Nothobranchius furzeri: one gene and its partners. The main gene of each other region encodes a partner of the protein of the gene in region 3 in a complex. Links are inferred from orthologs where the notes say so. Each region holds a gene or a part of one and is shown on either strand. Other genes may lie near its edges.

Region 1 (4,222 bases), on a different chromosome or scaffold from region 3:
AAAACAACCTGATTGGCTCTCTTCATGTCTCTGGGGAGAATACTGACGCCCGTCTGCCACCAAAGCCTGACTGCCCTGTGTGCACGCACGCACACACATGCGCACACACACACACACATTGTTGTACTCAGCATTTTCACACACTCAAATTTCAGCAGCCATTCTCCAGTAGCAGACGTTTTGTACTGTCAGGTGTTTTCGTGCCCTCACTGAGGCACCTGTCCAGAAGATTCTATCACAACCTTCCCGTAGCATCCTCAGACAGATAACGAGCTCAGACCGACGGCCTTCCTTCACGTCCGTCAGGAAGTGAAGTTTAAAGATTCGTTTGTTACTGATGAAATTGTCACTGCTGATTTCTTCAACCTGTCAGCTTTTTCTGGATTTAACGTGGTTTTTACAGTTTTCACTGTCAATTACACAACCTAGCCGGTTTTAAGTCAGGCACATCCCCAGGCAGCCCGGCACTGCTGCAGGATTTAATTGTATTTTTATGTTCCTGAATAGCATCTGCTTTAATTAATGCTCTAAAAATTATTTCCACCAAAAATAAGAGTTTGTTTACCAGTTTTGAGCATTTAATACTCGGTCAGTATCCTGATTTGTTTGATTAACTTTAGTGAGACGTCTGGTTTTAACACTGAGCAGTGCACAAGATTAAAATTTAACAGTTAAATTTAGTGTTCAAAAACCGATTCAGCTTCTGAAATTTTGTGCATTTACTGGTGTTACCTGTGACATATTAGCATGAAAATAGGGCGGAAAACATCTAGACATGAAAATCGGCACAGAACATTGGCAACACTAATCGTCCATCAGCTGTCCGTAACCTTTACACGTCGGTATCGGCAACAGAAAAACCATTATCGGTCGAACTTTACTTTTCATGGTTTGCTGCTAACATCACAACCAAACGTCTGTGAGGTGGTACAATCCTTTAACAAGCTGACGAAGATGATGTAAGCATGCCTTTTGATTAGGAATGTGTATTTTTGAAATTCTTGTGATACGATACATATCACGATACAGGGGAGACGATACGATATTTCACGATATATTGCGATACATTCAGTCAGACGTTACAAGCAATTTTTTAACTGAATTTATTGTAAGAATGTTCAATAAACAGTCCAAACTGATACGTAACATGTTTAACATGAGGTATCTGAACCATGATGGAGGGATTTACATTTCAGTGGTGGAAACAAAACCCGCTGCACACTGCTGCCAACTAGCGGGTGCTGATTGAATTGCGCAAAACGAAAATACACAAATGTTTGCATGTAAATTCTTTCAGGAATTAGATACACGGCTTTTGAATATCGATGTAATAATCGCAGGAAAAAATATCACGATATATTGCCACATCGATATTTCCGATACACGGCTTTTGAATATCGATATAATGTTGCTGGGAAAAATATCACGATATATTGCCATATCGATATTTTCTTACATCTCTACTTTTGATGGATATTGGTAGATCCGGGTGTCAGATTGCTGCAGTAGCATGTACACGTGCTTTAAATTAATCATTAAGATAAAGAATAATTTTGCTGTACTTTACTAAACCTTTTAAAGGTTTATTCCATTTGTTTTATAAATCTAAAGGTTCTGGTTTGTTGCATTACTGACTATAACAGATGGCTTGACTTAAGCTGCTCTAACAACAAAATTGTGAATAATTAATTTTTCTATCTTTTCTCATTCGTCTGGTAAACTTTGCATACTCCTAAGTCTCTTACAGCCCGTTCTGTCCCCACTTACAGATTCAGGCCGCAGGTCCACCTTTACATGGTCTCCATCCTCAAAACCCTCAGGGACTTTGTTCTGCATCAACAGAGGGATGGAGAGGTCCAGGCTTCTGTTCGACTCTGCTGCATTCTGCCATTGCTCCAGCTGCCTCCGTGAATCTACAAGCAGAAACACACAACGTCACTGATAAAGATGGTTTTCTTAGTGTTGGGTAGGAAAGTAAAAACTGTCTAATACACACACAAACCGGCCATGGAGCTCGTGCTCTTAATTGTTTTACAGTCTAGCAGGAAGACACTTCCAGGATGGGCTCCGTTTGCGAGGGGGTACACATTTTGACACGCAACCATTCATTGTCCAACTTCTGCATCTTTTTCAACCACAAACCTTCAATGAGTTCTTTGACAGCTTGAGACTCCACCGAGTCTTTGTCTTGGACCGAGCCGCGCGCTGAGCCTCCACTCGGGTCCGCTCGGTCCGGTTTGTGCCAGCGGTTCTTCTGGATCAATGGGATGATGAGCTCTTTGGGCTTCTCGGTTGGCTTTGAACTGCCACGGAAGACAAAAGTTAAATCTTTAAAGTGTCCCGGGTAGATACATTACACACACCACGTAAAAGTGTGGTCAGTCAGATTTAGAGTTCAAACGTCACCACTCCGTTTACAAACCACTGACAGCTTTAGCCTCTAGCTAGCGGTTAGCCTACCTCTGTAACTCATTTCGGTCGATTCCAGTCAGGTAATCCTTCTCGTCGGTCTTGGCTGGAATGCCGCCGGCTGCGGGTTTAAATTTGCTGACAGTTTTTGTGAAACCAAACGATACCGCCGCTGCCTTTTTATCTCCTTGGTTCTCGGCGGCACCTGAACCGTCTCCGTGCGACGCCATGATTGTTTGTGGAAGAAGAACGATGAGGGCGCAGTGCATTCTGGGAGATGGGGTTGCGTTAACGAGCCCGATAACCACTCTAGGCTGCAATTGACTACAGATCCCATCATGCCTCATAATAAGAGTTCTTTAAAGGTCGCAGGCAATCCGAGATTTACTGATTTATTTGTGAAATCCGTTGGTTATTAGTAACTAAATAATATATCAAATCATTTAAAGTAGTTAAACAGACGGTAATTACACTGACACTTGATTTAAAATAGAAAGGTACTGATGTTTAACACTTTCATTGTGAACATGTCTAGACTTGCAGGTCTATTTTTGAAAAGCTGAAACATCGCTCCGTTGAAGCGGTCATCTTGTAAACCCCTATAGTTTATCTGGAGCTTTTTAGTCTCCTGTAATAAAAAGAAACAAGAGCTGAATGAGTTGGATTAATGCGTGGGTCTGACTCCTTTAAATCGCAGATAGTGAAGCGGACTCTGGTGCTGCTGATGCAGGTGTGTTTTAGGCAGAATGTGGGCGGGGCTTTTAACTCCTCCTCCCAGTGCCTCCTGAGCGCCTGAACTTGTGAGGTTAACCTTTTCATTAGCCATGTAGCCTAATGTTGCTGTTTTTTTCTCCGCATTTGCATGTCAGCAGCATGAGCGCAACCTTATTACTATTTCCGCACCTGCTTTTGCGCAACCTCTGAAGTTCAGCGACACCTTTATTTGCTGAACCCGACATTTGTATGATTTTTTGGGGGGTAATTCGGGCTTTTTCTGTATGCATGATGGATAAACGATGAGGCGCAGAGAGTGAACATGGGGGTAAGAAACGCACTGTTCTCTTTGCACAAGTTAAAACCTCCCGTTTGGGTCACAACCATCCACGCCTTCTTGTTTTTTCCTCCTTTCTCCTTTTTGCTCGCAGCAATGTAGCAGCTGCTGAAATTATCTGCGACCGCCGTCAAATCTGCCCGATAGTGTGTGTGTGTGTGTGTGTGTGTTTTATTTTCCTCTCTCTCTCTCTCTCTCCTGCTCTCCCCGCTCTCTCGCTCTCCTCAGCTCCCAGAGCATCACTAGTGTCCAAACATCCCGTCAGCCGTGCGCATCGGCTCTGACTTTCTCCGCTGGCTCCGGCTGATCGCCTTTCATCTCATCTCCTCCAGACTCCAGACTCTTCCTCGCTCCTCCTCCAGCTCCTGCTGTTGCTCCAAACCAAACAGGTCGCGTTATTTATTAAAGTGCTGCTCCTTTTTTAACCTCGGCAGGGTCAATGTATATAGACGCGTTCAAACGGATCCTCTTTGAAAGGCTGAACTGCTTGAAGAGAATGTGTGTGTGTCAGCGGCAAGGCAGGTCAGTATTCAGTCTAAATATGAGAAATCTGAGAATCTGCTTCGTGTGTGTGTGTGTGTGTGTGTGTGTGTGTGTGTGTGTGTGTGTGTGTGTGTTTTGAGAGTTTCTTGATAGCTTTTCTATTTTCTTTATCGGTTTCAATCGCCTTCCTCACAAATTGCCTTAATGAAAACTAAACAGAAGCTCGTGCTCAGTGCACCTGCACCCCCTTTGCCATGAATAATAGACTGATTCAAATAC
Region 2 (4,135 bases), on a different chromosome or scaffold from region 3:
CTGAGCGACTGTGCAGAGGATGGGATTTTACGAATCTTAGTTGTTCTCAGAGGTTAAAAGTGAAGTCATCTACCCTCTTGTTGGTGACTCACTTCACTTTTGTTCTCTTTGCGGATTCTTGCTCTGCACTGGTTTATCTCACACAGGTATTTACACGGATTGTACTCTACACACACCCACGAACCAAAAGGACAACTCTTGAGTTTTCTAAAGGTAGATGTAGCCCAAACCATAAAGGTCAGGAGACGGATCAATGAAATGCTGCTACGTAATATTACCAGGAGACGCTCCACCGTTTGTGTTAACACGATTTGGTCCGTCTGCTCCAGGAGACGACCATAAGGGCACCTAGCAGTCCTCTCTGAGGACTGACAGCATTTCTTAGCTCCGGTCTGCTACAGCAGATGCATCGTCTCACGGTTCAGACTCTTTTGTTGCACAGGTTGTAATTATTAGTTTAGCATTAAGAGCGTAAAAGTTAGCCTTTTCTTCGGCTCTCTGGGTGTTACTGACGTCAGATGTAAATGTTTTCTTGGTGCTGGTTTTGTCTGCATGTATATTTGAAAGTTTGGACAAAGCAACGTGTTACAAATGTAAAACTTTTACTACAAACCCAGGCCTGCTTCAGTGTTTCAACATGATTGTACAAAAGGAACCGAGGCCATGAACTTTATTAGAAATGTACACAGACAAACACAGAGAGGGTTCTAAAGCGTGTTCTAATCTTCTTCGTCTGACGGTGGCTGGTCGGCTAAAGCGTTGCGTTTCTCCATCTTGGCAATCAGCTCTAGAATAAATGACAATAAAACATCAAGTGTGACTGTTTACTTTGGTTTCTGCTCCTCTTGGATGTTTTTGAGCAAATGCATTTACCTTTAGCGGGGTTGAAGACACCATTGGTCTGAGTGTTGCACACGTAGCAGCGCTTTGACTTGCGATAATGCTGAAGAGCACAGCTCTCACAAAAATAGTGCTTACACCTAAGGAAACAGCGATTACCAGCCGGTAATAAACAAGGACTGAAGGAGAGAAACCATCGCAGTACTTACTTTGTGATGATGGGATTTTTAAAAGATTCTCTGCAGATGAAGCACTTGAAGGGCAAGTCTTCATCATCACTGCTCACCTCATAGTTCTCGTCATCTAGATGAAAACACATCAGAAACTTAGTCTAGCCAGCAAAAGAGAAGATTTCAAGTTCGATTATTTACTCACCATTTGCTCCATATCTCCCTTCCTCCAGTTCCCTCTCAATCTGCCAGCCGTGTTTGTAGTCCGACCTGTCATGGAGGAACTTGCAGCTGTCTAATGGCAACGGATGCAATCATGATTAATAAACAAAACCTTTGACTTCACAGTAGGAACGTTTTAAGAGTTCAGATTGTTTTCACCAACCCCCAAATCCACAGAAACCCGTCTCCTTGTAGTCTTTGCAAATATCCGGTTGGTAGTCCCACCGGACTGTAGCTCTCAGGTGTTCAGGAGCTCGAATCGGTCCTTTTCTGTAGCACAGATTGAACGTAACCTTCAGCATCTATAGGTGAACAACATCTTCTGACTGCATGTGAATATCTCTTGCCTCACCTGACCATGCCTGAAGAGGCATTGCCCATGGTGGTGTCTTTAGGCTTGATGAATTTTTGGTAGTTATTGATGCCACGGTATATTTTATCATCTTCTTTACCTGTTAGCTCCTAATGAGACAGAGGAGGGAAAGCTCAAATGACGAAGGTGAGATTTTGATTATTTCTCATTTTATATTAACCAATAGCGGCATGTCCTACCTCTTGGATTTTCTGACTCCTCTCAAAAATAGCTTGAGCATCCTTGTCTCTCTCTGTGTCCAGCTGATAAGTGGCAGTTGCACCCATGTCTTCAGGCCCCTCGGGTTTCTTTTTATGAAGGCAAGGTACAGTAGAAAGTTTTAAAGTAAATAAAAACAACTGTTCAGGGCACATAGTCATGTGTACGTGGATGAGAATGGTCTGTAGATTGTAAAATAATGTTAAAATTTGCTTTTCTGGTGAAGTTTCAGCCCCTGTATGTTTTGTCTCAACAGCCAGGTTGAGCCATGATGGAAAAAAGATCAGTGTTTGACTTGTACTGTCTGGCTCTGACATTTTTGAATGAATGCAGTCTGAACTCACCGCTGATCGGGAAGACTTGTAAGCAACCGTTATCTTTTTGTCTCCCTTTTCCTCCTCGCTTTCACTAGAAGACACAGCGTCCCTCTCCACTTTTTTTGTCTGAACAAAGAATACATAGATCATTCACGTTGCTGCTTCATAACTAAGTATCTATTAGCTTGCCTGCTCTACCTTTTGAATCATGGGGTTGACTCGAGCATCCTTCTTTTCTTTTCTGACCACAGCAGTCTGTTCAGTGTCACTATCGCCATCTAAAACAAACAAACAAACACACACGCGCACACACACACACACACAATTGGTGTAAACAAACATTACAAAATCTATTACAATTAAACTAGGTTACTTCCCCTCTTTGTTTAAATGTAGCTTTCAGGTGATAAACCATAATGTTTTTGGTCCTGTTTATTATGGAGGATAATATAAACAAACTGTTTGGGTCGCGGTTTTGATCTCCCTGATGAGAAGCCGCTATCAATTCTATCCAGAGGACAGACAACGCTAGTTAGGAGAAAATTACAAGGAAATGTATCTAAATGATAGTTTACTACCTTTATCGCTGTCACTTGCTTTTCGTTTTCTTCCGGAGAATTTCTTGGTGGATTTTTTAAACAAAAACGTACAAGTAGCTGCTTTTGGTTTGTCTGGGTCCGCCATGTTTTTGTTGGTGTAAGAACAGTGGCTGCCAGAGCAGTAGCGCCCCCTGTTGTTCTGGAGGCGAAACGTGACGCGCTCCTTCTGCCAAAATGAGATTCACAACCGTCCATAAATCAAAGTCAACGCGGCTCTGGCTAGAATGGTAAACCTAAAATATTATGTTAGAACGGACGAGGGCCAATGAAAACAAAAGAAAAATACAATAAAAAAATGAACAGAAAGATAATTCTGACTTTAATCTCAGAATTTTCAGATTTAAATCATTATTCTTTGTTTTCAGTGGCCTTAATCCTCTTCCGTAGTACTTGAAATAATTTTTAAAAGGTAATTTTAGTTTTAAACAGAAAAATAATTAACGCATTTTGATTGGACACTAAATGTATAAACGATTAATAAACAAAATACACAAAAATAGCCATTAGAAATGTCGTTGATAAAAAGAAGAAACGATCTTTTACAAGACCGCTCAAGATAATAATCATGAGCAGGCGCTTCACAAGAACAACAACAACAACAACAACCATAACAACAAAAAACAAAAAAAGAAAGAAAAATAAATAAAAACGAATGACATAAATTTGTAAGAAAATTTTATGTTTAACTGCTTTTTGTCTAAATAATCTTTTGACGTAACTGATGCCAACACAATCTGTCTATAAGTGATTAAATGTATTGTTTATGTCAACTTGATAACAAGAACTCAATTAGTTTCTGGCTTTCGAGAGTAGGGTTTTTTCCAACCTCTGGCGGTCAGAGGCGGTTACTACAGTGTTCACATAAAGTTGAACAACACATAACCAATTAGCACTTCCTATAAATCCTTTCAAAATAAAAGAAATAACAAGAGGTCAGAAGGTCTGCAGTTATATAAACTACACAACCGATGAAGCTTAATAAATGTATCATAATTATCTGTGTTAAACAAGATTAAATTAACGCGCTAAAACAAAAACTATTAGCAGCATTACAAACACATCAGATCATACGCCCTCTGGTGGCCTATTGTCCCTCTGCTGTAGACTCAGAGGAACATCAAGTAATTCTTTTTGATTGTGAAATTTAACTAACAAGTTTGTAATTTCTTCTCAAACATTTCAGATATAAAACAATTTAGGCCACTATCAGGTGTCTGCCCTGGGATTGGGAGATCGGGTTTGAATACCGGTCTAGTCATACCAAAGACTTTAACAAGGAACCCAATCCCCCCCCCTGCTTAACACTCAGCTTTAAAGGGTTGCATTAGGGGGTTAAACAACCAAATTACTGAGCGCAGCCACTGCAGCAGCTCCCTGCTCTCCATCGGGATGTGTCAGATGTGGAGATGAATTTCA
Region 3 (3,675 bases):
TAACTTTACTGTGTATATTCATTCCTTTTACTGTCCTTTTTCAATTGATTTTTCCTACTGGGAAGTTAGAATTTCCGAGGAGAAAGTGAACGCACCATTAGCTGATAACAATGGTGGCATAGGAAGCTAACATATCAAGCTAATGTTATCTTTAACAGTTTACTTAACTGCTGGAGCAGATTTAAACGATGATGCCTCACACTTAAATCGTTGTCACTGGTTTCATCTTCACCCAATCACCCGTCGCATTTAGTAAAGTGAAGCCAAACTTTAGAGCGCGTTCATGTTCTTCTAGTCGGAATTTCGGAGTTCCGAGGAGAAAGCAAACGCACCATTAGTGAAACGGAAGCTAACAAATCAAGCTAATGTTATCTTAAACATTTTATTTACCTACCGGAGCAGATTAGGATGAGGATGCCTCACTTAGATCATTGTCGCTGGTTTCATCATCACCCAGTTACCCATCACATTTAGTGAAGTGGACCCAAGCTTTAGCGTGCGTTCTTTCTACCATGCTGCTCTGTTTACAACTCGCTTGCAGCGACCAACGACGTAACGCTCTTGCGCATGCGCAGCTGTCTAGGCAAGTTCTCGTTGTGAAGGACGGTACCGAAATGAGGCACCGTTTCAAATGAAGTGAATCGGTGCTCGGTCGGTACTGTGGAATTCGGTCGATACCTTAAAAAGTACCGAATTCGGTACCCATTCCTACTCGGGCATCTGGTAAGGATGCCACCTGGACGCCTCCCTGGAGGGATTATGTCTCTCGGCTGGCCAGGGAACACATTAAGATTCCTCTGTAGGAGCTGGCCCAAGTAGCTGGGGAGAGGGAAGTCTGGGCCTCTCAGCTTAAGCTGCTGCCCCCGCGAACCGACTCCAAAGAAGCGGGCAAAAATGGATGGATGTGTGTTAGCAGATAGCCCTTTATGGGCTGTGAAACTTTGACATTTCAGGGACTACGGATGACTTTACCAAATGTGGTAAAAGAATATATTTTAAATTCTGACCTCTAAGAATGATGACCCCAAAATAAACCATCAGCATGGCAAAAAGTAGCCAATAGTGCATTCAATTAAGAATATGAGAGTAAAGTTTCTAAATATTGCTAGATTATAATTGGGCCTTTCTCTGATGAGAACCAGTGGAAAATCAAAATGTCAGTCTTAAATAGTTTAGACATTTTATATCTGAAGTGAAGTGACTTCATCACTGTTTGACTTTTCAGCTGAAAGAAAATAAAAGCAGAGCTGTGTTTTAAAACTAACAATGACTTAAGCAGAGAAAGAGTAATAGTTGTAGCTGTTGATGTCCGTCTAACATCACCAAAAGTCGGCAACAACAAATCTGAATTTGCAAACTTCTGACTAAAAAACTGATCACAGTTTGCAACCTGGGTCAGGACTTCAGTATTCTGTGCTGCCTGAGGTCAGCAGGGAGACGTGTCAGGAGCAGGGTGCAAGGAGGAAAGTGTGGCAAGATGTCCAGTGCTAAAAACAGCCAATAAACTCTGAGGTCAACTCTGCTCTTCCCAAACGACATTAGGTATCACTGGGTTTACTGTGAATGAGGATCTATGGTAAGCATGTAAATATCAGCAGATATAGTGGTATATATGGGTCAGATATAGAGCTGGAGAGCTGCTGGGTACCCTGTTATAGTTTATGAAGAAACTTTAACAACTTTTTTTTGCTAATTTTTGTATTTATTTCCAAAGCAGGAGGAAAAACAAACAAAATTCTGACTGAGACAGGAGTTTAGCAATAAGGGTGCCTTAAAAACACCCAACCTAAACTATATTACAGTTTAAAGAGCATCACCAGCAGTTTGCTTGTTTTCCCTACACAACTGAATTAATTACATTTTTTCCATATTCTCTCTCCAGCTCCACATGACAAACAAAATGTGTTCCTCTAAGTAATGGCGTTTTGCATAGCAGCTGTTTTAAACTGTAAAAAACACATTCCTTTGTGCACATCAAAATATTTTAGCAAACAAACCACAACCCCATCCGAACCCAACCAGACGAAAGATGGATGTTCAGGAGGTTACTCTCTGCCACAGAGTGGTTTGATTAACAAGCTTAAGATTGTTTTTAAGACCTGGATAAAAATCCCTCTTTATCCTTCATGTTTACGTAGACTTTAAAGGTAGGGCTGGCACAGCTAACAGTTATTTCCAACTCAAACTTATCAAACTTTCTCTGAAATGAACTTTAGACGGTCTCATTTGATTTTAAGATGCATATACCAGGATTTTAAATTATAGCTCAGACAAACAGTCTTGATCTCGTCAAAAGAAAACAGAACAGACATTGATGAACACATTATTTCCCCTCTGAGTCATAGAAATGAGTCTAAATGTGTTTCTTTGAAGACTGACTGCTTTGTTAGTGAAGCTTATTTTGCATTCATCCCACAAGTTCTTAGGATGTGGCTTATGTGTTCAACAGGCCAGCAGTGCCCCCATCAGGCCATAGTAGTATATTACATGTTTTAAAGCAGAATGTGGAGAACCTGCTAAGTTTTTCTAACTAAAAACCGTACCTGCGACTGGTTTTCTTCCCAGGCTCCTCCTCTCTGGGCTCAGCTGAGCTCTCGGCTCCTTTTTCTTTCTTGAGCTTTTTACTGACCAGTTCTCTTATCTTCTTCTTCCTTTCTGGATCATGCTCTTCATCTGCACATGCGTCATCCTCATCATCATATGCCTCGTTGTCTGACTGAAGAAAGAAAGGGTGGAATTAAAACACAAACTCAGAGCTGTGAACATCTTTTGAGTTTTCCTTTACACTTACATCACTGTCGTTTCCAGATGCCCCCTTCTCTTTGTCTCTTTAAAAGTAAGGGAACTCGACTTTAGCATTAGAGAGCAAGAATTCCAGGTTAGTGGTGATAAATTAATAATTTACGACTCATACTTATCAACAGCTGGAACTGAGCTCAGTCTGGGATCGTCCTTCAGAAGGTCGTGGCTGCTTTTGCTTTTTCCTTTAAATGTCTGAAGAAATGGAAAAATTTGACACTTTTTTTTTTACTTACACATAAACCTATAAGTGAAATATGTAAGAATGATGTAAAACTGACATCCTGTGGTCAAAATAGGTTACTGCTGGCCATTTTATAAGCAAACAGTAATTTTCTCACTCCTGTTGCGTGAGTTTCATGGCTGTTATCATACACAGGAAGTGGATAAGCAGGGGCAGCAGTAGCTCAGGAGGCAGAGCAGGTTGTCCAATAATCAGAGGGTTGAAGGATCAATCCTGACTCCCGACCGAGATTTCTGCTGTTGTGTCCTTGGGTAAGACACTTAACCTGCCTTGTCTGCTGGTGGTGGTCAGAGAGACTGGAGGTGCCCGTGAACAGCAGCCTCACCTCTGTCAGTGCGCCCCAGGGCAGCTGAAGCTACAATGTAGCTCATCACCATCAGTGTATGAATGTGTGTGTGTGAATGGATAAATGATGCACTACAGTGTAAAGCGCTTTGGAGTCCTTTGACTCTGAAAGGTGCTACACAAGTGTGGGTAATTTATTATTTATTGGGGCAGCAGTAGCTCAGGTGGTAGAGCGGGTTGCCTCATGATCGGAGGGTCATGGGTTCAATTCCAGCTCCCGCCAGGGGTATCCTGCTGTTGTGTCCCTGGGCAAGACACTTCACCCAACTCGCCTGTGTTAGTGGTGG
Region 4 (4,320 bases), on a different chromosome or scaffold from region 3:
CTCCACCTGACAGTAAATCTGTAAGTCTTGTCACCAGCATTCAGACATTAATTCTGCTTGCTTCACAGACCGACAGGACACGAAAAAAAAAATATATATATATATACATACATACACATATGTATTATATATTTATACACATACACATATATATTGATGATAATATAATTGTTGTTTTTGTAAAAGTCTATTTTGGGCTGTTATTTTTCTTTAATTAGTACTGTTCTAATGTTTTTGTGACCATTTTATTTGTTTGGTGGTAAATTTGCACCCATGTGAAGGATTTCAAGATTTTCCTAATATGCAGAAAGTTTTAGCAGTTAAAATATTGACAGTGTGAGATAAAATAACATGCTCAGGGTTTCCTCTACGATTTTGATAAACCGTGGTGGAGAGACGTGCGGAGACGGTCGCTCTGAGACACGAGCAGTATGCTTTTCGATGAACATTCCTGCAGGTGTGTGTAAAACATCCATCCATCCATTGTCTGAACCCGCTTTGTCCATGTAGGGTCGCGGGGGTGGGGGGTTGGGGGCTGGTGCCACCCTGAACAGAGAGCCAGTCCATCGCAGGTGTGTAAATCAGCTTATTGTTTAATTACAATTAAATAAAAAAAATGTAAAAATATATTTACCTTGAAATAATTTGTATTGCTTGATTCCCACCTTGATTACAGCCATGGGCGGAACTTGATTTCTGTCCATTTTGGGTCCCAGCCAGATTCTCTGTGCTGACTTTTTTCTTCCCTCTTACCGCTTCCCTGCTGCTCTCTCCCTCATCATGCTCACTTATGCATGCTGGTCCTTGTTCTGCCTCTCCACTTGTCTCTCCTTCGCTCACCTCCTGATGGTTGGCGCGCACCAGAGCGGTGTCCTGAGCATGGCGACAGTAACATTCTCAGTGTCTCCACGTATAACACACGATTGTTTATGTCGACTCGTGTCCTTTTTATGCTTCCTGTCTTTTATTTGTGCCCGATGCGTTTTGCTGCTGCGGAGCGAAGCGCATCACCTGTTTTGTCCTCAGGTGACTTCACCACACCGGTGCGCCCTCGCTAATTTAGCGGTCGGTAGATCTTTTTGAACTGCAGTTTAAAGTTTTGTTGCAATAAAATTTATTTTAAACTGTGACTATGGTTAGTACACATGCACAAATATAGACTATATATGTCTCGTTATTGTTTTAATGTATATCCAAAAAAAATGTTTCTGAAGGTACGTTGTTTGAAGTTTTTTTTTTGTTTACTTCTGAAGGTGTGGCAGCTTTTATTTTTCCGTAGTGGCGCGCCACGGCAACATGCACATAGGAAACACAGTATTAGTATTTCTTTAGCTTTCTAAATGTAAATTTGTGCACTCTTTACATAATAGCTGTTTTTTTTAACCTTTTTTATACAGGTTGGTATCATAGCATACAACAGCCGATGAGATAAACAGTTTTCCGAAGCAGTGGGAGCGTCGGTTTTCTTCCAAGACTCCCATCTAGACACCTGTCCAGATCATATCCGACGACGTGGTTTTGTCTTTTTCTCAACAGCTTTGAAACCCGGAGCAGATCCCACCTGAAAAAAAAAAAAAAAAGATTCACATGTTTTAATCCTTCATTAAGGCTGATTTACTTTTTATGAAATTATTAAAGTACTGAATCAACAATGACCTGTTTCATTGTGTTCCTGATCAGGCTGGCAGTTGTGTTCAACGAGTCATCATTCATGTCCAGTTTAGGTGGTTCTGGTAATTTCGGTCCAATCAGGGTCTCGGTTCCTCCAGAAACACTTGCCGACTGCTCGGGAGCCTCTTCCATTCTGCGTTTCCTGATCTCCAAGTGCGAGGACCTTGGGAGAAACCTGAATGCTGAAGCCTGATCTGAGGTCAGTCTGTGTTCTGTGTCGTGGTCTCTCTCTGAGGCTTGGTTAACGCTTAACTTTTCCACTTGGGGCTGTTTCAAGTTTATGATGGCATCATGTAAAGTTCCCATTTTGTCCTCCTGTGCGCTGATCCCATGTGGACTGTTATGTCCAAAGGGATGCTGCTCCCATGGAGGTAATGGGAGAGGAGGGAATTCTGCATGTTGGCTGTGGTTTGAAGCATCCTCTGCACATTCTTTTTTAGAGGTTTGATCGTGTCTGACGTTTATGTCTGATGCAGTCGTCGATGATGCGGAGCCTTCGCTGTGCGCCGCTTTTGCTTTGTAAGAGAAGATTTGTTTTAAAGCATTGAAAAGCAACATTTAAAGGTCAGAACTAAATCAAACATGATGTTAAACGATACCTCTGCTCCGAGCTGCTCTCATAACATAACCCCTCCGGTCCTGTAGCTTTAGCCTGGTGTCTTCTACAGTCTCATACTCTGGGACGTAACACACATGCAGCACACCGCCGTAGAAGCTTTTCTCATCCATGTTGCGTTTGGCTGCTCTGAAACAGAAACATTCGATAACGATTAAGCAGGTATTTCCAGTAAAGTATGAGGAGCGAATAAATCGTACCTGGCGCTGGTTAGCTTCTGGAACTTGATGAGGTAGACTTCTGTAAACTCCTCAGCCGGATACTCGTCCAGAGGTCTGTACTCCTCCACAACACCATACAGGGCACACAGCTGGACCAGCTCCGTCATCACACCGATAGCTGGGACTCCCAGTACCATCAGGAAACGGGACTCTAGGTTAATGGTGTACACCTGGAAATTCACAAGACTAAAGTTACATTTCCTGCGTTCAGTGCAGTATTAGAATGATGTTACCAATTAAGCTAAAGCAAATCTTGTGTGTCTTCTTTACAGAATTTATGAACATTTTAGCTGAAATTAATAACTTCTAAGATTGTCTCACCTTAACCGCTTTAGCTCTTCTTCCTTCTCGATACTTTGGTCGAGAAATGCAAACTTTCTGCTGTTCGTGATGTTTGTGAACGTCAGGAACTTTCCAACAACCGGAGCTGTTGTTTACAGGGACCGCCATGCTTATTCTAAATGCTGTTCCGGTTTAACACTTTCAAAATAAATGCTTTTAGTTCAGTGAATGCGTCTGCACTTCCGGTTTAACACTTTCAAAATAAACGCTTTTAGTTCAGTGAATGCGTCTGCGCTTCCGGTTTAACACTTTCAAAATAAATGCTTTTAGTTCAGTGAATGCGTCTGCACTTCCGGTTTAACACTTTCAAAATAAACGCTTTTAGTTCAGTGAATGCGTCTGCGCTTCCGGTTTAACACTTTCAAAATAAATGCTTACAGTTCAGTGAATACCGTCGCGCTGCCTGTTAGAATACTCTTTTATTTTGAAAGCAAAAGATCAACTACTTTTGCCTGGTGAGGAGTCCATCGTCCACAGAGCACATCGATAAATCCAATTGCTCTCTCTGCCTGGTGTATGCTAAGCTAGCTAGCAATGCGAAAATTATGTTTAGCAACCAGGGAATTCAAGCCGTTCGTGTCGTTTTTAACAACACAAAAAACTGCTTTCTTCACCTCCCTTCCAAGTTGGTAGCGCATCTTTCCTTGAACGAGGTAGGTTAGCTAACTAATTTCATGTTGATTTACTGCTTTTTAGATCATTTCTGTACGTTAAGACTTAGTTTTAATGTATAATGTCTGTGCTAGCATAAACAGATGACAGTTTTTAAACGACTAGCCGGGTTGTCTTATGCTCAGATGAAAGTACTTTTGTTTGAGATTTTATAAACATGCAAAGCAAACAGTTACCTAATCAACGACAGCTGCTGGTTTTTAGGATTTTCAGGTGAATTGCTTCCTTGACATCTATGTTTGCCTTATTTTACTGCATTAGAGACTTAGAGAGACACACTTAGACTACTGTAACTCTCTTTTCACGTGTCTGAGCAGAACCTCCCTGAACCGTCTACAGGTGGTTCAGAACGCCTGTGCTCGGCTTCTGACCAAGTCCTCCAAACGCACCCACATCACCCCGCTTCTCCTCCAGCTTCACTGGCTGCCAGTCAACTTCAGGGTTCATTTCAAGATCCTGGTTCTGGTCTATAGAGCCTTACATGGACAAGCACCATCTTACATTGGTGATCTTCTTAGTCCCTACACCCCCAGCAGGTCCCTGAGGTCCAGTGATCAAAGCCAACTGGTTGTGCAGCACCAGGCTAAAGGTCAAAGGTGACAGATCATTTGCTGGTGTGGCCCCCAGACTGTGGACCTCTCTCCCCCTGAGCCTGAGATCAGTGGACTCAGTGGTCTCCTTTAAAAAGCAGCTGAAAAGTCACCTGTTCAGGCTTTGGTGGGACCTTCACCACCCTCTCCTTGTTCTGCTCTTTGCACTTATTCCACATTTCCGTGATCCACTGATTTCCCGCTTCCC
Region 5 (4,338 bases), on a different chromosome or scaffold from region 3:
ATATTTTAGGGCAACCACTAAAATTAGAATTTATCATCAGAGATAATGAAGTATAAAAAGTTTGGGACAAACTTCTTCCTATTTTAGCCGTTGATGCTTCCCAGTGCTGCATCTGCTACTAAAATTATAATATATGGTATTAAATGAAAACGTTTTTTTTAAATAAAAAATATAAAGTTAGCTGTAGTCATCTAATATCTCCTATTTTTCTTTTTACAGATCCATTACTGCTTTAAAGGACTCACTTCACTCAGCTGGTTAATATTACTAATACTGGTATTTCATTTTTAAAGATTACAAGCTCTCAGCCTTCTACCAACCTTCCTTCCTGTAACCAGGCAGTCGAACAAAAGCTCCATATGTTTGCACTGAAACCACCTCTCCCTTGGCGATGCTGTACATCGGAGGCAGACCATCCAGCCCGGCTGGTTCTCGACTCGAGCGGTCACGGTTGGACATCGTCTCAATCTGGGCAAACAGTTGGAGGATTAAATATATTTCAATTCAATAACACAACACAGATAAAAGACGAAAGACGAGGAAAAGTTAAAGAAACCCAAAATAAAAGCAATATTGTTCCTTTTACAAAGTAACAGAATAAATTTAAGTATTTATATTGTGAATAAAAATTATTAAATAAAAATCCATAAAACTACTTTCTACGACAACTATTATGTTTTCACAAGTCAGGAGTAGGCAATAAATCAAGTTCAGTTGAAGTTATCCTTCAATTAAAATGTTTTTTCTTCGTTTTCATTAAGAATTAAGCTCAAATAACCCAGTTTAATAATATTAAAACTAGACTAAAAAGACCAGCCATGGTCTAAATTTTATTTAAACGGTAACTGCATATTTTCTAACACTCCATACATGTGAAACAGACTGAGAACCAAACACAAAAAAATAAATAAAAACAAAGAACACAGACAAAAATTGCAGCTGTCAGATTTAAAGAAACTAGGCTAATCTCAAAAACGAACAAATAGAATTATTAATATTGTAAATCAGTTTTAATTTTCAAAACATGGATTTATCTTACCTCAAACTTCACTTTCCATTACATTAATTCGAGCGGAGTAAAAACTATAGGAGACAATATCTCTGGAAACATGAACAGGATAAACGCAACACGAGCATTGGTGTTTACATAAAACCCTCTAACCTATTCCTGTTAAACTGCTCTATGATACATTAGTAAACCAGACAATTGTGCTATAATTAATATATTTTGCGTAATGTGACTCTAACTCTTAAGAAATAAAAATAATTGCAATACCTTTTCCACCGACTAAACTGTGCTAGTTATACTTCCAGGTCAAATTGACGCCAGGAAGAAAATCAGCCAATCACTGCAGCCTGCGCAAATTTCCACCAATCACGAGCTTTGAACCCGGAAGTACTTCAGTGTCTGTCTTCTTTGGTGGTTTTGTTTCCTCAGACGTCTTTCGTCGAAGACGTCCGTTAATTTTACTAAGTTTTAGCTTTGCATTTACTCTATTTAGCCGCTTTTTGTTAACTTTCCCCGCAATGATTGAACCTCTAAAGAGACCCGGAGACATGGCGATGGTTCCCACTGCGCTGAAGCGGCCACGGATGGAGCTAGTAGCGGCGGCTCAGTCTCAGCAGCTCGTGGCCACGGTAACGTAGCCCTGGTGACATCCGACTGCGTTTACATTCAAGATTAAATCATACTTACCACCTTTATAGTAGTTATGTTTTTAAGTTTGAGAAAAGGGCAAGCTATGCTAGCCGGGGACTTATGTATTCATTAACCGGACCATGTAAGCAGATTTAGTCACGTTTTCATGATTAATGTAAACATCAGAATAGTTGACAATAGAATTCAATATGCAAAAAAACTATTTTCAAGAGCGTGTTGGTTATTGTAATTATGTATTTTATTGGTAACAATATTTATTATTAAAACAGCCTTCCTTTTTAATATTTGATTCAAATAACAAAGCATATATAATAAATAAATAAACTGTCAAGATGATCAGAGTTCACTTGTGCATCAAAGGTAAAATATATATACACAGATATCACCTTTTATCATAATGCAAGCTTAAGGAAACACCAGATTGTAATTGCCACTGGTGCAATTAGGATCTACTTCCAGCTCCTACATGATTAAAGGGAGCATTTACTTCACTCTCTTTGCTAGATCTCAGCAAGTCATCCAGCTCGTATGCATTTAAAGTAAAGTACCACTTGTTGTTTCTGCACCATAATGCTGCAAACCTAAATCACTGATCCCCATAGGGCCATCCACGCACCTCCAGCATGCAGGCTCCCATCATGTTGATGTCTGGCCATGAGGGGGAGGTCTACTGCTGCAAGTTTCACCCCAATGGAGCTGTGTTGGCCTCTTCAGGATTCGACAGACTCATATGTAAGTTTGTGTCAAACAGTAGCAGACATATGTTTGTTAAAACCGCTTTAAAATCTCTGTTACCATGCTGCAGTGTTGTGGAACGTGTATGGAGACTGTGAGAATTACGCCACCCTGAAGGGTCACAGCGGAGCGGTGATGGAGCTGCATTATAACACAGATGGCAGGTAGAGACGGTGGAATATGATCAACTAATATCTGGTGGATTATTGCGGAACTTGAGTCAGAAGTGTGATACAGAGGTGTCTGTGTGGTTCAGCTTGTTGTTTTCAGCCAGCACGGACAAGACTGTTGGCGTGTGGGACAGCGAGACAGGTGAGAGGGTCAAACGTCTGAAGGGACACACCTCCTTTGTTAACACCTGCTATCCAGCTCGCCGAGGTCCTCAGCTGGTCTGTACAGGAAGCGACGACGGGACGATCAAGGTCAGGCTGTTTTCTGGGTGTTTTGCTGTGAAAATGAGGTCCAACACACACCGTTCACACACACCTACATTGTTGCACGTTTTGTTTAGCCTGATGTTTTTTGTTTTCTAGCTGTGGGACATCCGCAAAAAAGGAGCCATCCACACCTTTCAGAACACCTACCAGGTTCTGGCCGTGACGTTTAACGACACCAGTGATCAGATCCTGTCTGGAGGCATCGACAACGACATCAAGGTTAAAAAAACAGTTTTTCTTAAAGGGACTCATTAAACTGTTTATCTTGAAGAAAGTCAGACTAAACATTTTAATCCCTTTAACAACAGCAGATGGTTGCAGTGATGCTCTGTTTCAGCCATTTTAAAGTTGATTGACTGAAGATGTTCAGTGAGATTTATTGTCAGCCCTTGGTTGTTTACATTTTTGTTTGCTTCAACTCCAAACGCAAGTTTATTTTTTGTTGATTGTTGCAAAAATGTGAAATGTCGAAGGCAACAAATCGGCTCCAGCCTAAAATTCTCTCCTGGTCGTTGATCTGAAAGCTTTGTGTTGCTCAGGTGTGGGATCTGCGACAGAACAAGCTGATCTACAACATGCATGGACACGGGGACTCTGTAACCGGGCTCAGCCTGAGCTCCGAGGGGTCATACCTTCTGTCGAACTCCATGGACAACACTGGTATGCTCGGCTTCTGATCCTGCTCATCTGTGCTTGAATCGCATCCCTCAAAGAGTCTCGCGTGTCTTTGCAGTGCGAATTTGGGACGTGCGGCCGTTTGCACCCAAGGAGAGGTGCGTGAAGATTTTCCAGGGTAATGTTCACAACTTTGAAAAGGTAATCTTCACTAGCAGACAAATGAACAATTCACTTCTAGGTCAATCTGAGAAGTCGTACATATCTGGACTAAAGAAAACCGCTTTTTAGCTGTGAAAGCTCCGGGTCTGTGTTCTTCTCATGTCCTCTTTTCCTGTTTATTCAGAACTTGCTGAGGTGCTCCTGGTCCACTGATGGCAGTAAAGTAGCCGCAGGATCAGCCGATCGGTGAGAAACGCTTTGGTGACTTTTTAAACCCAAACGGAGTAAAGATAAGGCACTGAGAGCCACTTTTGTTCCCCGCTCTGTGCGTCTGCTACAGATTTGTGTACATCTGGGACACCACGTCTCGCAGGATCCTCTACAAGCTGCCGGGCCACGCCGGTTCTGTTAACGAGGTGGTGTTTCACCCAGAGGAGCCCATAGGTGAGCGACAGAACAGGAACCGGAACCAAACACAAGAAAAAGTCACTCATTTATTCTTTTCTGTGTCTTTGCAGTGCTGTCTGGCTCCAGTGATAAACGTCTGTACATGGGTGAAATCCAATAAGGTGTGTGTGTGTGTGTGTGTGTGGGTGTGTGTGGGGCGGGGTCTGCCTGTCTCTCAAGCTTTAGTTAAGACTAAACTTGTGTTTTTTACATATTTCTTTTGAATAAATGTCATTATTCTATAAAAGAGTTTATTTTTTTTATCTGAAGCACCGATTCCTC
Region 6 (4,174 bases), on a different chromosome or scaffold from region 3:
AGAGCCTGGCTTTCTGGCTCAGCTCCCTCTTCCCCACGACAGATCGGCTCAGCGTCCGCATCACTGCAGACGCCGAACCAATCCGCCTGTCGATCTCCCGATCCCTCCTACCCTCACTCGTGAACAAGACCCCGAGATACTTATATAATTATATAATGCATTTCATTAATATGCATTTGTATCAGAAATGGTAATAACATTTAATTTTGGCTGCTAAAAATGTAATGGTGGCATGTCTATTATGTACGGGTTGGCAATAATCCAGTTCAAATTATGTTGAAAGATAGAAGCGTCTGTTAATTATATACTACAACGGCTTGCCATAGCCGTTCCATTCAATTCAAAGATACTTTATTAATCCCAGAGGGAAATTAGAGTTTCAGTACACACAATTCTGAGATCAGACATACATACATAGGCATAGACACATGACAAGAATTGGTGACTGTGGTCATTCGCGACCCGGAGGGTTTACATAAGGATTGGGTCAGGTGGAGGGAAAAAAGGCACTTCAGAGACAGGGAGGGCAGCTTTGCTATGCAAAAAAACACCTCAGACAGAAATGCAACAGACTTCAGACATTACACAACATAAGTGTCCACTAGGTGGGGTGGTAGGGTCTGGGACTCTCCACACATCAGTGCATGCAGCCGCGATAAGCAGCGCTCGTCACCTCCGTTTGGACAGGGGAAGGAGGTATGTGGGTTAGAGGGCACAGTGACTCCTGGAAACGATTCAATGGCCTTCACCGGTCGCAGTCCCACCCAGGGTGGGATAGGGAGACAGAGTTACCATGGCGACTGCAGCATTGTGGCAGTAATGTGACTCGTATCTGCAGCGGTTCTGATCCATAGCGCTGCAGGATGCAGAATAAACAGGATGGTGGGGACTTTTCATCCGCTTGTAGATTTTAGTCTTTCTTAGTTTTACCATCATATATTTTTCTGTGCACCACTTGATCGTGAGACTGCTAACCGTTAGCTTTAGCATTAGCCAATCTGCGTGTAGCTGCACTTTTGATCCCAAACTTTGGACCGGTTCTGCCTTTGCTGGTTCCTGTATTTTCCTCCACTGCATCCAGATGACCACACTGCGCCGGTAAAAAGCATTTTTCTTACACGCAACTAACTTTGTTCAATAAAGTTCTGGGGAAAATAGTAATTCAAAGATGTTGCACCAGTGCTACGTTTAAACATAGACAGACACGCACAGACAGTTCTTTTCGTCACACTGTACAGCTCTGCTCTGATATGGAAGAGCCTGGGGGAAAATCAGGATGTCAATAACACCAACCATAGATATGTAACTAGCGAGAAAAGCAGTTTTTGATCTTCTTTGTCTGCAGTGGTTTTAGTGCTTTTCGGTGCGCCGCTGCTGATACAGCGCCCCTGTAGGGGCGTAACGCTGCAACTGCAGTTAAAATAACACCCATATAGCTGGGGGCAGAGTGAAATCAGGCTGGGGCGGCCGAATTTGAATGCAGGAAAAACCCTGAATATGCTTCAATCAGTGGTGGAGAACAGGATGCTAAAACAAATGCCTGTCCATGAGAGACACAGAAAAAAACGTTTATCACTCACCTTTATATCGGCCCTTTCCTGATTTCCCTGAATGCCCTCTTGAAGGTGACAAGTCTGGAGAGTCGTGGCGACCTCTCCTTGGAGGAGATGTGTCCGGAGAGTCATGTCTTGCTTTTCTGATGGGAGAATTGTGTCTCATGTCTTTTGATGACCTCTCCGGTGAGTCTTGGTGAATTTTGCTAGATTCCAAAGACTCTACACGTTCCCCCGTTGTTTCATCTTCCTCGTTCTCATCAGCTACAGGGAAGACTAGATGATGATTTTCTTAAACAAAGGAACAGATTTTGTTTGTGTTTCACGTTTACCTCCAACTATTTTCCATCTGTTGCTGGTCCTGAAGACTTCCATCTGTTTCACCTCCTCTGGTCGCTCGTCAATGAATTCAGCAATCTTAGTGGGCACACAAATTTATCCATATTGCATTTCCATAACATTTGAGGAAACATCACTCATTAGAACCTTCTAATAAATAAAAGTTTGTGTTTTTTTGTCTCTGTTTATGTCAGAATTCAGCTTTTTTTCCCTCCTGGATTATATGGACAGATTACGCAAAAAGATTTTTTTTCCACAAATTAAATTATTATTTGTTGCAAGAAAAAAAACTATAATTTTGCACTTGTTTAGCCCTGTTTATAGTGCAAAATATCTTCCTCTTGATCTTTTTAAACAAAAATTATTAAAATGGCACAAAAACATTCTAAGTATTTTGACCCACTTGGGATCAAGTTTTAGTGTCTAAAAACTTGTGAATACACTTTCATAAACTCAACCCAATGTATGGAGTCTAAAACTGAACGCCTGTCTTAATATTGCCAGAGATTACTGAAGGGAGAGATTTGCTTTAAAAGCGTTTGAATCGAATTAAGGTCTTTCGAAAAAGCTAACGTTAGCTAGCTGTTTACCACAGGAGCTTCTTCTTCTTCCTCCTCTTCAATCTCCTTCGGTTCTGTGACCATCTGTCTCCAGTCTATATCATCATCTACTATTTTAAGTCTGAAATAAAAGGAAAATAATAAATGTCACCAAGTAACAAAAAAGCGATAACTGACACAGTGACTAGCGAAACAGCTAGCATACAAGTGAAAAGAAACTTTATAGAACTCTCTCACAAACTCACCCTTTTTCAGGAACTTTGCGTCGTTTCTTTTTTATCTTTCCTTTTGATTTACTAGCATCTTCGCTGGCTGACAGATAACGTTTGAGGTACTCAGCTTTAGAAAGCTCAGCTCCTTTACTGACGCCATTGGAGGCAGCCATGTTGACTGTTGTCCGAAACTACGGATAGCGCGGAGGATCAAAAGGGGTAAACCGCTCCACCATCCTTGTTATGGTATATATTTTTCTTTTTAAAAAATACCACAAGAGTCATAATCTGGCTTTTGTTGTAAAACTGAAAATACTCAATTGCTAAACAAGCCGCTTATCTTTTTGATGTAAAAATGGATGAGCTATGGCTTGATTTTCCATCTAATTTTTGCTAATAAATAAAATAAAACAAATAGAAAAATAAAACGAATAATTAACACTGACAAACAGACATTTTTTCCCTCATTTTGGACACAAAAGCATCACATTAACAAGTGTTAATTTTGATAATAGGAGTCTTTCATCAGGGAACCAAATCAGTAATTAAAAAAAATAATACAAATAATAATAAAAAAAAACAAGTGGTCATTTGATTCTTGTTTGGAAATACAAATGATTAAAACAAATACAATTCAATTTTGTGTGATAAAATAAGGATGGCACAGTAAAACAATATTAGATTTTTTATAATGAAAAAAAAGAAGAATTAATGTTTACTTTAATTCTATTTGCAGAAACAAAGACGACATTTGTTATCACCATCACCATTCTGTCAGTGCTGTAGGAGACATGCTTTAGCTCCATTTAGAAACTGACTCTACTCGATAGACACTGAACACGTTATTGTTCCCAGCAGTAACTCAAAAGTAGTGATGATTTAAGATCTTTAGCTTGAGGAACTCAGTGATGTCATCATAATGATTTATTTAGGCCCTGGATCTGTCTATCTCTCTCTCTCTGACACACACACACACACACACGCACGCACGCGCGCGCGCACACACACACACACACACACACACACAATGTACTTTGATGTTTTGCATCTTTTTTATTTGTTCTTATCATATTTTAACAAGTTTTTGTTGCCTCCTTGTTGCACCTTTTTGTATTCATTATTTATTTGCTACCTCATTAATGACTGTAACTTTATCTCGTGGTGTATGGTGGCTCAATCACAACCTCATGTAGCAGCTGCTCTGTAGAAACATTTGTTTAGATCTGTTTTACACACTTAAATAAAAACAGCAAAATGGTCCAATTTTACCCCCAATAAGTTTAATGTACTTTAGTTTTAAGCCATTAAGAATTGTGCAGTTCAAATCACTTTTATATAAAAGTGATTGAATGTCAAAGCTCTCAGACTCATAACCCAGATTATCACACAACTCTTTCAGTTCCCAACAAATCCTCTGAGACCTAAAAGACATGGCACAAAAGTAAACAAACAAAGTAGTCACAGCAAGTTTACCAACAAAAATATCCATTTTCATGTAAATAGGAGCAAT
Region 7 (4,459 bases), on a different chromosome or scaffold from region 3:
CAATTTGGGGTTAAAAACAAACGTTTTCACATATTTTCCATGTAGTTTTTTGCCAGTTCCTCTTCTGAAAGGTAGACAATTGTTTTTCTCTTTCCCTCAGAAAATCTTAATATTCTCCTAGTTTGGCCCAGCACAGTTCACTTCCCAATAGCAGCAACAGCCTTATATCATAACCACATAAGTGGAGAAAATGCTCAGTAGCAATGAGAGAATTTGCTGTTCCATTTAAGTGATGTTAACTATTATTTAACATTTAAACTTATTTTCTGATATTTTTTTATTTATTCAAAAACCCTGGTAAGGGATGTTTTTCTGCATTTGGAGCATCAGAAAAAGTTTTATGGTGGAGGTGATGTTTTAAAGTCACTGAGAAACTGCATGCATGCAGTTTATTGTTTTGCTACTAATACAGTAGCAGGTGCAGCTGCATATTTTTGCAATAAAAATGTTATGTTGTAATGGAATTCATGCATTAGTTTTGTTTGCTTTGAACCCAGAGCAGACGTCACACGCCAGACGACATCAACACTGCATACTTTAGTATTTGTTCATTTATCGTGAGTAATATCGATATCGCAATATTAAACACTGTTATCGAATATCGCAGGTTTTTCTAATATCGTGCAGCCCTATTCCTAATTGTGAGTCTACCTAGGCATCATCATGAAGACATACCAAAGGCAGCAGGTTCAATGGGACACGTAGGCCTTGAAATCATTATAATAAAAAAGAAAACTTCAGCAAACTATAAAGATGATTTGTTTCACTGAGCATCTTCCATGTTTGATGAACCATCTGAAACATGGCCACTCCACTCTTTCATTTCCTGCAACTAAGACAGTTTGCTTCAATGTTCATCAAGATATGCCTTTTTAGATAAAGCCCTGTTTACATTTCATCATTCAGCCTAAATACAGTACAAACACACTGTATTCAAACAAACCTATCGAGAATGGCTCTAGATTATGCAAGTACAGTCTCTGTTGATGTGAGGCTGTAATTTTCTCCGGATTCTGACACTAAGACACACTGAAAAATGAAAACATCTGAGCAGAAAAGTCACAAGTTGAATTGTTCAACAACAGACAAACATTGCAGTTTCACAACTCGTCCCAGTTACTGTCACGTTTTCCTATAGGATGCAGATGGATTTGTCTCAGAGGAAAAGGATAATGTTGTTGGTGACATGATTACATGTGAAAAACTCAGCAGGGTGTTGAATAGAGAGCATGTGTGTGTGTGTTTTATGTAAAAGGGCTAATAGAAATGCTGTAGCGTTTTTGTGACACAAAACTAAATCTTCAGCACAATCACTTCATACCTTTCTTGTAAGCGCAGCCCTGGCAGTAGTGAGATCCAGCCTGATGAACTGAGCTTTTGCAGATCCTGCAGATTGCGAAGCCAGTCTTGCTGTAAGGGTCAAACCTGATGAAAATAATTGTTACACACATGACCAGTTATATCAGCTGACCACTTTGAATTAGTAATATACAACATTGAAAAACAGTAGCTAAACCGTTGTGTGACTTCTTCTGAGGAATAGTTCAGATAAGAGTTCATTATGATGGGCTTTTTAGGAAGATTTAAGAACAAGGTGTCACCTCATATTCTATACAAATCTTACAATCAGACTAAAAACCAAATGAGAGCTACTCCTTTTCTGTTACTAATAAGGTTCACCAGATATTGTCACCTATTCCCTTTAACTTGTATATGGACGATCTAAGTTTTATTTAACTAAGAGAGCATAAGAGTGGATGAATGGGGAAATAATGACCAATCATCTCATGACTGCTGAAGATTTGATGGTCTTTTACTCTTCAGAGCAGGTTTGCAACAGTTACTTAAGAGTGTGTTCCAGCTATGATGTAAAAATCAACTGTTATGATTGCAAGAAATGAAGAAGATCAGGATTTAAACGTGGTTCATAAAGTAAAATACTAAGGACAGATGATTAATGATGATTCATGTGGTGATTTGTGCCAATGCAGCAAAATGTATGCCCAAGCAAATATGGTGGTGAGAAAGTTTTATATGATAAGGTTGAACTTTAGTAAAATAACAGTTTTTGGTTCAATTTCAAGAAGGTAATTTTAAGATAAGTATATTAATGCGTTTAGAATATTTTCTCTGACTTCTCATATTTGTATTTACATTCATTAGATTGTTGTAATTAAAGTTTATTTTTTTCTATAAATTGTTTTTACTCACCTGGCTTTTTTGGATGTCAAAATCTTGTTCTCATTTAGCTTACGTCCTCCACTCTCTGACACAAAGAAAGAAGACAAACTTGTTAAACACGGACATCTAAATGTTACTATACCTATACTAATATAAAAAAAATAAACACCAATTAATTTATATTATGGCGTGATCAACCAAATGAGGACTAAACCTGCTAGTAACGTGAAAAAATATAGAAACAATGATTACATTTTCAAAAGTAACTTGTAAACAAGACAACAAGTCTCATATCTAGAATAATTAACAAACAGCAATTTATCATACTGATGGCAAAAAAACATTTCACTACGCATTCCTCGGGTCACCTGTTGTATTCCGTGCTCCGTCCTTCCAAGTGTCGGGGGTAATTACTTTTCCCAGTTTCTTCTCGCCTAAAATATAAAACAAAACAATTATGGAGGAAAATACAATAAGAACTAAACTATTGGCCTTCTAGTTTGCATTTGAGACTTTCGCTGACAAAAGTAACGTTCATCAGATTTTAAAATGAACAATACGTCTGAAAATCAGAAGCAAATGACATACATACACTTTTCACAGACCATCTTTGCGGTGTGTCGAATGACGCAGTAGAAATGATCGTTTGTTAGCTTTAGCTTGCTTTGCTAATGTAAACGTCCGGTCAGCTGAGGCATTTCAAATGACAGGTTTCATTGGTTGCTTTAACGAGTAACATCTTCTGTGATTGGTTAAAACAATTGAGTTACGCAACGCGAACTATAACTTACTACTTCCCGTTTATTTGCTTATAGGTTCTTCAAAATAAATGTTTGATAAAGTCAAGCACTTTTACCTTATTTAACCCAAGCGTATTCATTAGCAGAGATTGAGTAACAAGTAAAACATACACCTTTTTCACTTGAAATTGAAATAAACTGACCCGATAATCTATGATAATATGTTTCGAAACGGATGTTTTTTCATCATTCACCTAAGATGTCTGTGCGCAGTAGACTTTTACTGTGAAATTAAGCGGACGTTCTTACGTCTTCGTGTTTACGGAAACGCGGAAAAGAAATACATAGACCTGACAGTTTCCCAATGTTACCTTACGTTTTTTAGGTGTTTTATTTGACTTCCCCGCATCGTTATCGGGTTCTTGTTGTAAATAGTTCACGTCTTCATCATGTGGGACCATGAAATTAAAGCTATGGCGTCTACTCACGCGATTATCACCGCCTCGGTGTTCATGGCCACGGTCATCCCCGCGGTGTTTGTCCCGGGCTTCTCAGTGTATGGGACTCACCTGCTGTGGGTCTACGCGGTGTCCGGTACGGTGACCTGTGTCAGCGTCGCTATCTTCTGGCTGCTCGGCATCTCACCGCCCACCAAAAAGCACACACTGGGATACAAGGTGCCAAAACAACTAGATAATGTTTTTAAAGTGAATTGTTGATTATGTTCGACATATAAATGTATTATGTGATATGTGAAGGTATCTTATGAATTTTACAAAATGTATTCGTTTGTTATTATTAATATTATTATTATTTGGACAGGGAAATGGACATCAGTCAACTTGCTTTTTAATTAAATTTAATAGATGTGTGAAAATGAAGGTAAGTTTTGGATATTGTAAGGTGAGGTGATGAAAAAGTAGAAATTGTAAGCGTTTCTTGTTATGATCTATTTTATTTAGGTGTGAAAAAAGTAATTGTCTCTTAACACATTTCATATATTATTTGTTTAATTTTTTGTCCCACTTAAATGGTTCAGATCAAACAAATTTCAACATCAGGCAAAGAGAACTTGAGTAAACTAAACTAAATGCAGTTTTCAAAGGATTATGTCCTTTATGAAGGGAAGAGAGCTAACAAAACCATCCGAGTTTCATTTCATTTTAATTCGGTTCATCCATGATCTAAACGGCTCATCTTTAGCGCTAATCATCATCAGATGAGAGCTAGGGGACATTCTGGACAGGTCTCCAGTCATATAGAAGGACAAACAACCATTCAAACATACACTCTCCCACCTAGAGACTATTTAGAGTCATTATTGAACCCTTTTCATGGATGTGTCTGGTCCATGGGAGGAAGCAAGTTACTGGAGAAGGGCCACACAAGCATGGGGAGAACATCCTAACTCCACGCAGAAAGGCCATGCAGGCAGGATTCGAACCTGCAGCATTCTTGCTTTGAGGCAAATAAATTTAATTTTTTCATAAAGCGCCAGTTCACAACATAAGTCACCTCAAAGCGTACAAAGAAACAAA

The links.
Region 1: cwc27 (region 3) and gpkow share a complex: the UniProt entries of both Homo sapiens proteins name them as parts of the minor spliceosome. The link is inferred for Nothobranchius furzeri from reciprocal best matches to the Homo sapiens genes CWC27 and GPKOW.
Region 2: cwc27 (region 3) and rnf113a share a complex: the UniProt entries of both Homo sapiens proteins name them as parts of the minor spliceosome. The link is inferred for Nothobranchius furzeri from reciprocal best matches to the Homo sapiens genes CWC27 and RNF113A.
Region 4: cwc27 (region 3) and rbm48 share a complex: the UniProt entries of both Homo sapiens proteins name them as parts of the minor spliceosome. The link is inferred for Nothobranchius furzeri from reciprocal best matches to the Homo sapiens genes CWC27 and RBM48.
Region 5: cwc27 (region 3) and snrnp40 share a complex: the UniProt entries of both Homo sapiens proteins name them as parts of the minor spliceosome. The link is inferred for Nothobranchius furzeri from reciprocal best matches to the Homo sapiens genes CWC27 and SNRNP40.
Region 6: cwc27 (region 3) and bud13 share a complex: the UniProt entries of both Homo sapiens proteins name them as parts of the activated spliceosome. The link is inferred for Nothobranchius furzeri from reciprocal best matches to the Homo sapiens genes CWC27 and BUD13.
Region 7: cwc27 (region 3) and cript share a complex: the UniProt entries of both Homo sapiens proteins name them as parts of the minor spliceosome. The link is inferred for Nothobranchius furzeri from reciprocal best matches to the Homo sapiens genes CWC27 and CRIPT.

The regions. Positions count from the first base shown.
Region 1 is NC_091755.1:41,971,772-41,975,993, forward strand, and holds the start of gpkow (G-patch domain and KOW motifs-containing protein), read right to left. Parts: upstream 2,968-4,222; 5' UTR 2,757-2,967; coding exon 2,461-2,756; intron 2,304-2,460; coding exon 2,143-2,303; intron 1,914-2,142; coding exon 1,768-1,913; intron 1-1,767. Other genes in the region: membrane-associated guanylate kinase, WW and PDZ domain-containing protein 3, read left to right, coding at 3,900-3,982. UniProt on the Homo sapiens protein: RNA-binding protein involved in pre-mRNA splicing. As a component of the minor spliceosome, involved in the splicing of U12-type introns in pre-mRNAs.
Region 2 is NC_091745.1:10,008,392-10,012,526, reverse strand, and holds rnf113a (E3 ubiquitin-protein ligase RNF113A), read right to left. Parts: upstream 2,859-4,135; 5' UTR 2,805-2,858; coding exon 2,699-2,804; intron 2,399-2,698; coding exon 2,319-2,398; intron 2,247-2,318; coding exon 2,148-2,246; intron 1,893-2,147; coding exon 1,785-1,892; intron 1,695-1,784; coding exon 1,585-1,694; intron 1,503-1,584; coding exon 1,396-1,502; intron 1,306-1,395; coding exon 1,216-1,305; intron 1,144-1,215; coding exon 1,050-1,143; intron 981-1,049; coding exon 874-980; intron 788-873; coding exon 720-787; 3' UTR 656-719; downstream 1-655. UniProt on the Homo sapiens protein: Required for pre-mRNA splicing as component of the spliceosome. As a component of the minor spliceosome, involved in the splicing of U12-type introns in pre-mRNAs. E3 ubiquitin-protein ligase that catalyzes the transfer of ubiquitin onto target proteins.
Region 3 is NC_091746.1:63,235,749-63,239,423, forward strand, and holds part of cwc27 (spliceosome-associated protein CWC27 homolog), read right to left. Parts: intron 2,995-3,675; coding exon 2,915-2,994; intron 2,829-2,914; coding exon 2,792-2,828; intron 2,717-2,791; coding exon 2,544-2,716; intron 1-2,543. UniProt on the Homo sapiens protein: As part of the spliceosome, plays a role in pre-mRNA splicing. Probable inactive PPIase with no peptidyl-prolyl cis-trans isomerase activity. As a component of the minor spliceosome, involved in the splicing of U12-type introns in pre-mRNAs.
Region 4 is NC_091759.1:22,195,863-22,200,182, reverse strand, and holds rbm48 (RNA-binding protein 48), read right to left. Parts: upstream 2,974-4,320; 5' UTR 2,959-2,973; coding exon 2,830-2,958; intron 2,679-2,829; coding exon 2,488-2,678; intron 2,417-2,487; coding exon 2,271-2,416; intron 2,187-2,270; coding exon 1,657-2,186; intron 1,562-1,656; coding exon 1,499-1,561; 3' UTR 576-1,498; downstream 1-575. Other genes in the region: peroxisomal ATPase PEX1, read left to right, coding at 3,396-3,503. UniProt on the Homo sapiens protein: As a component of the minor spliceosome, involved in the splicing of U12-type introns in pre-mRNAs.
Region 5 is NC_091759.1:20,973,074-20,977,411, forward strand, and holds snrnp40 (U5 small nuclear ribonucleoprotein 40 kDa protein), read left to right. Parts: upstream 1-1,394; 5' UTR 1,395-1,527; coding exon 1,528-1,638; intron 1,639-2,262; coding exon 2,263-2,392; intron 2,393-2,465; coding exon 2,466-2,559; intron 2,560-2,651; coding exon 2,652-2,817; intron 2,818-2,928; coding exon 2,929-3,051; intron 3,052-3,371; coding exon 3,372-3,492; intron 3,493-3,565; coding exon 3,566-3,648; intron 3,649-3,793; coding exon 3,794-3,855; intron 3,856-3,949; coding exon 3,950-4,053; intron 4,054-4,127; coding exon 4,128-4,177; 3' UTR 4,178-4,303; downstream 4,304-4,338. Other genes in the region: zcchc17 (zinc finger CCHC domain-containing protein 17), read right to left, coding at 321-459. UniProt on the Homo sapiens protein: Required for pre-mRNA splicing as component of the activated spliceosome. Component of the U5 small nuclear ribonucleoprotein (snRNP) complex and the U4/U6-U5 tri-snRNP complex, building blocks of the spliceosome.
Region 6 is NC_091750.1:44,767,869-44,772,042, forward strand, and holds the start of bud13 (BUD13 homolog), read right to left. Parts: upstream 2,882-4,174; 5' UTR 2,838-2,881; coding exon 2,698-2,837; intron 2,574-2,697; coding exon 2,483-2,573; intron 1,971-2,482; coding exon 1,886-1,970; intron 1,818-1,885; coding exon 1,581-1,817; intron 1-1,580. UniProt on the Homo sapiens protein: Involved in pre-mRNA splicing as component of the activated spliceosome. As a component of the minor spliceosome, involved in the splicing of U12-type introns in pre-mRNAs.
Region 7 is NC_091756.1:43,772,459-43,776,917, forward strand, and holds the start of cript (cysteine-rich PDZ-binding protein), read right to left. Parts: upstream 2,931-4,459; 5' UTR 2,790-2,930; coding exon 2,774-2,789; intron 2,616-2,773; coding exon 2,550-2,615; intron 2,267-2,549; coding exon 2,212-2,266; intron 1,426-2,211; coding exon 1,322-1,425; intron 1-1,321. Other genes in the region: pigf (phosphatidylinositol-glycan biosynthesis class F protein), read left to right, coding at 3,371-3,598. UniProt on the Homo sapiens protein: As a component of the minor spliceosome, involved in the splicing of U12-type introns in pre-mRNAs. Involved in the cytoskeletal anchoring of DLG4 in excitatory synapses.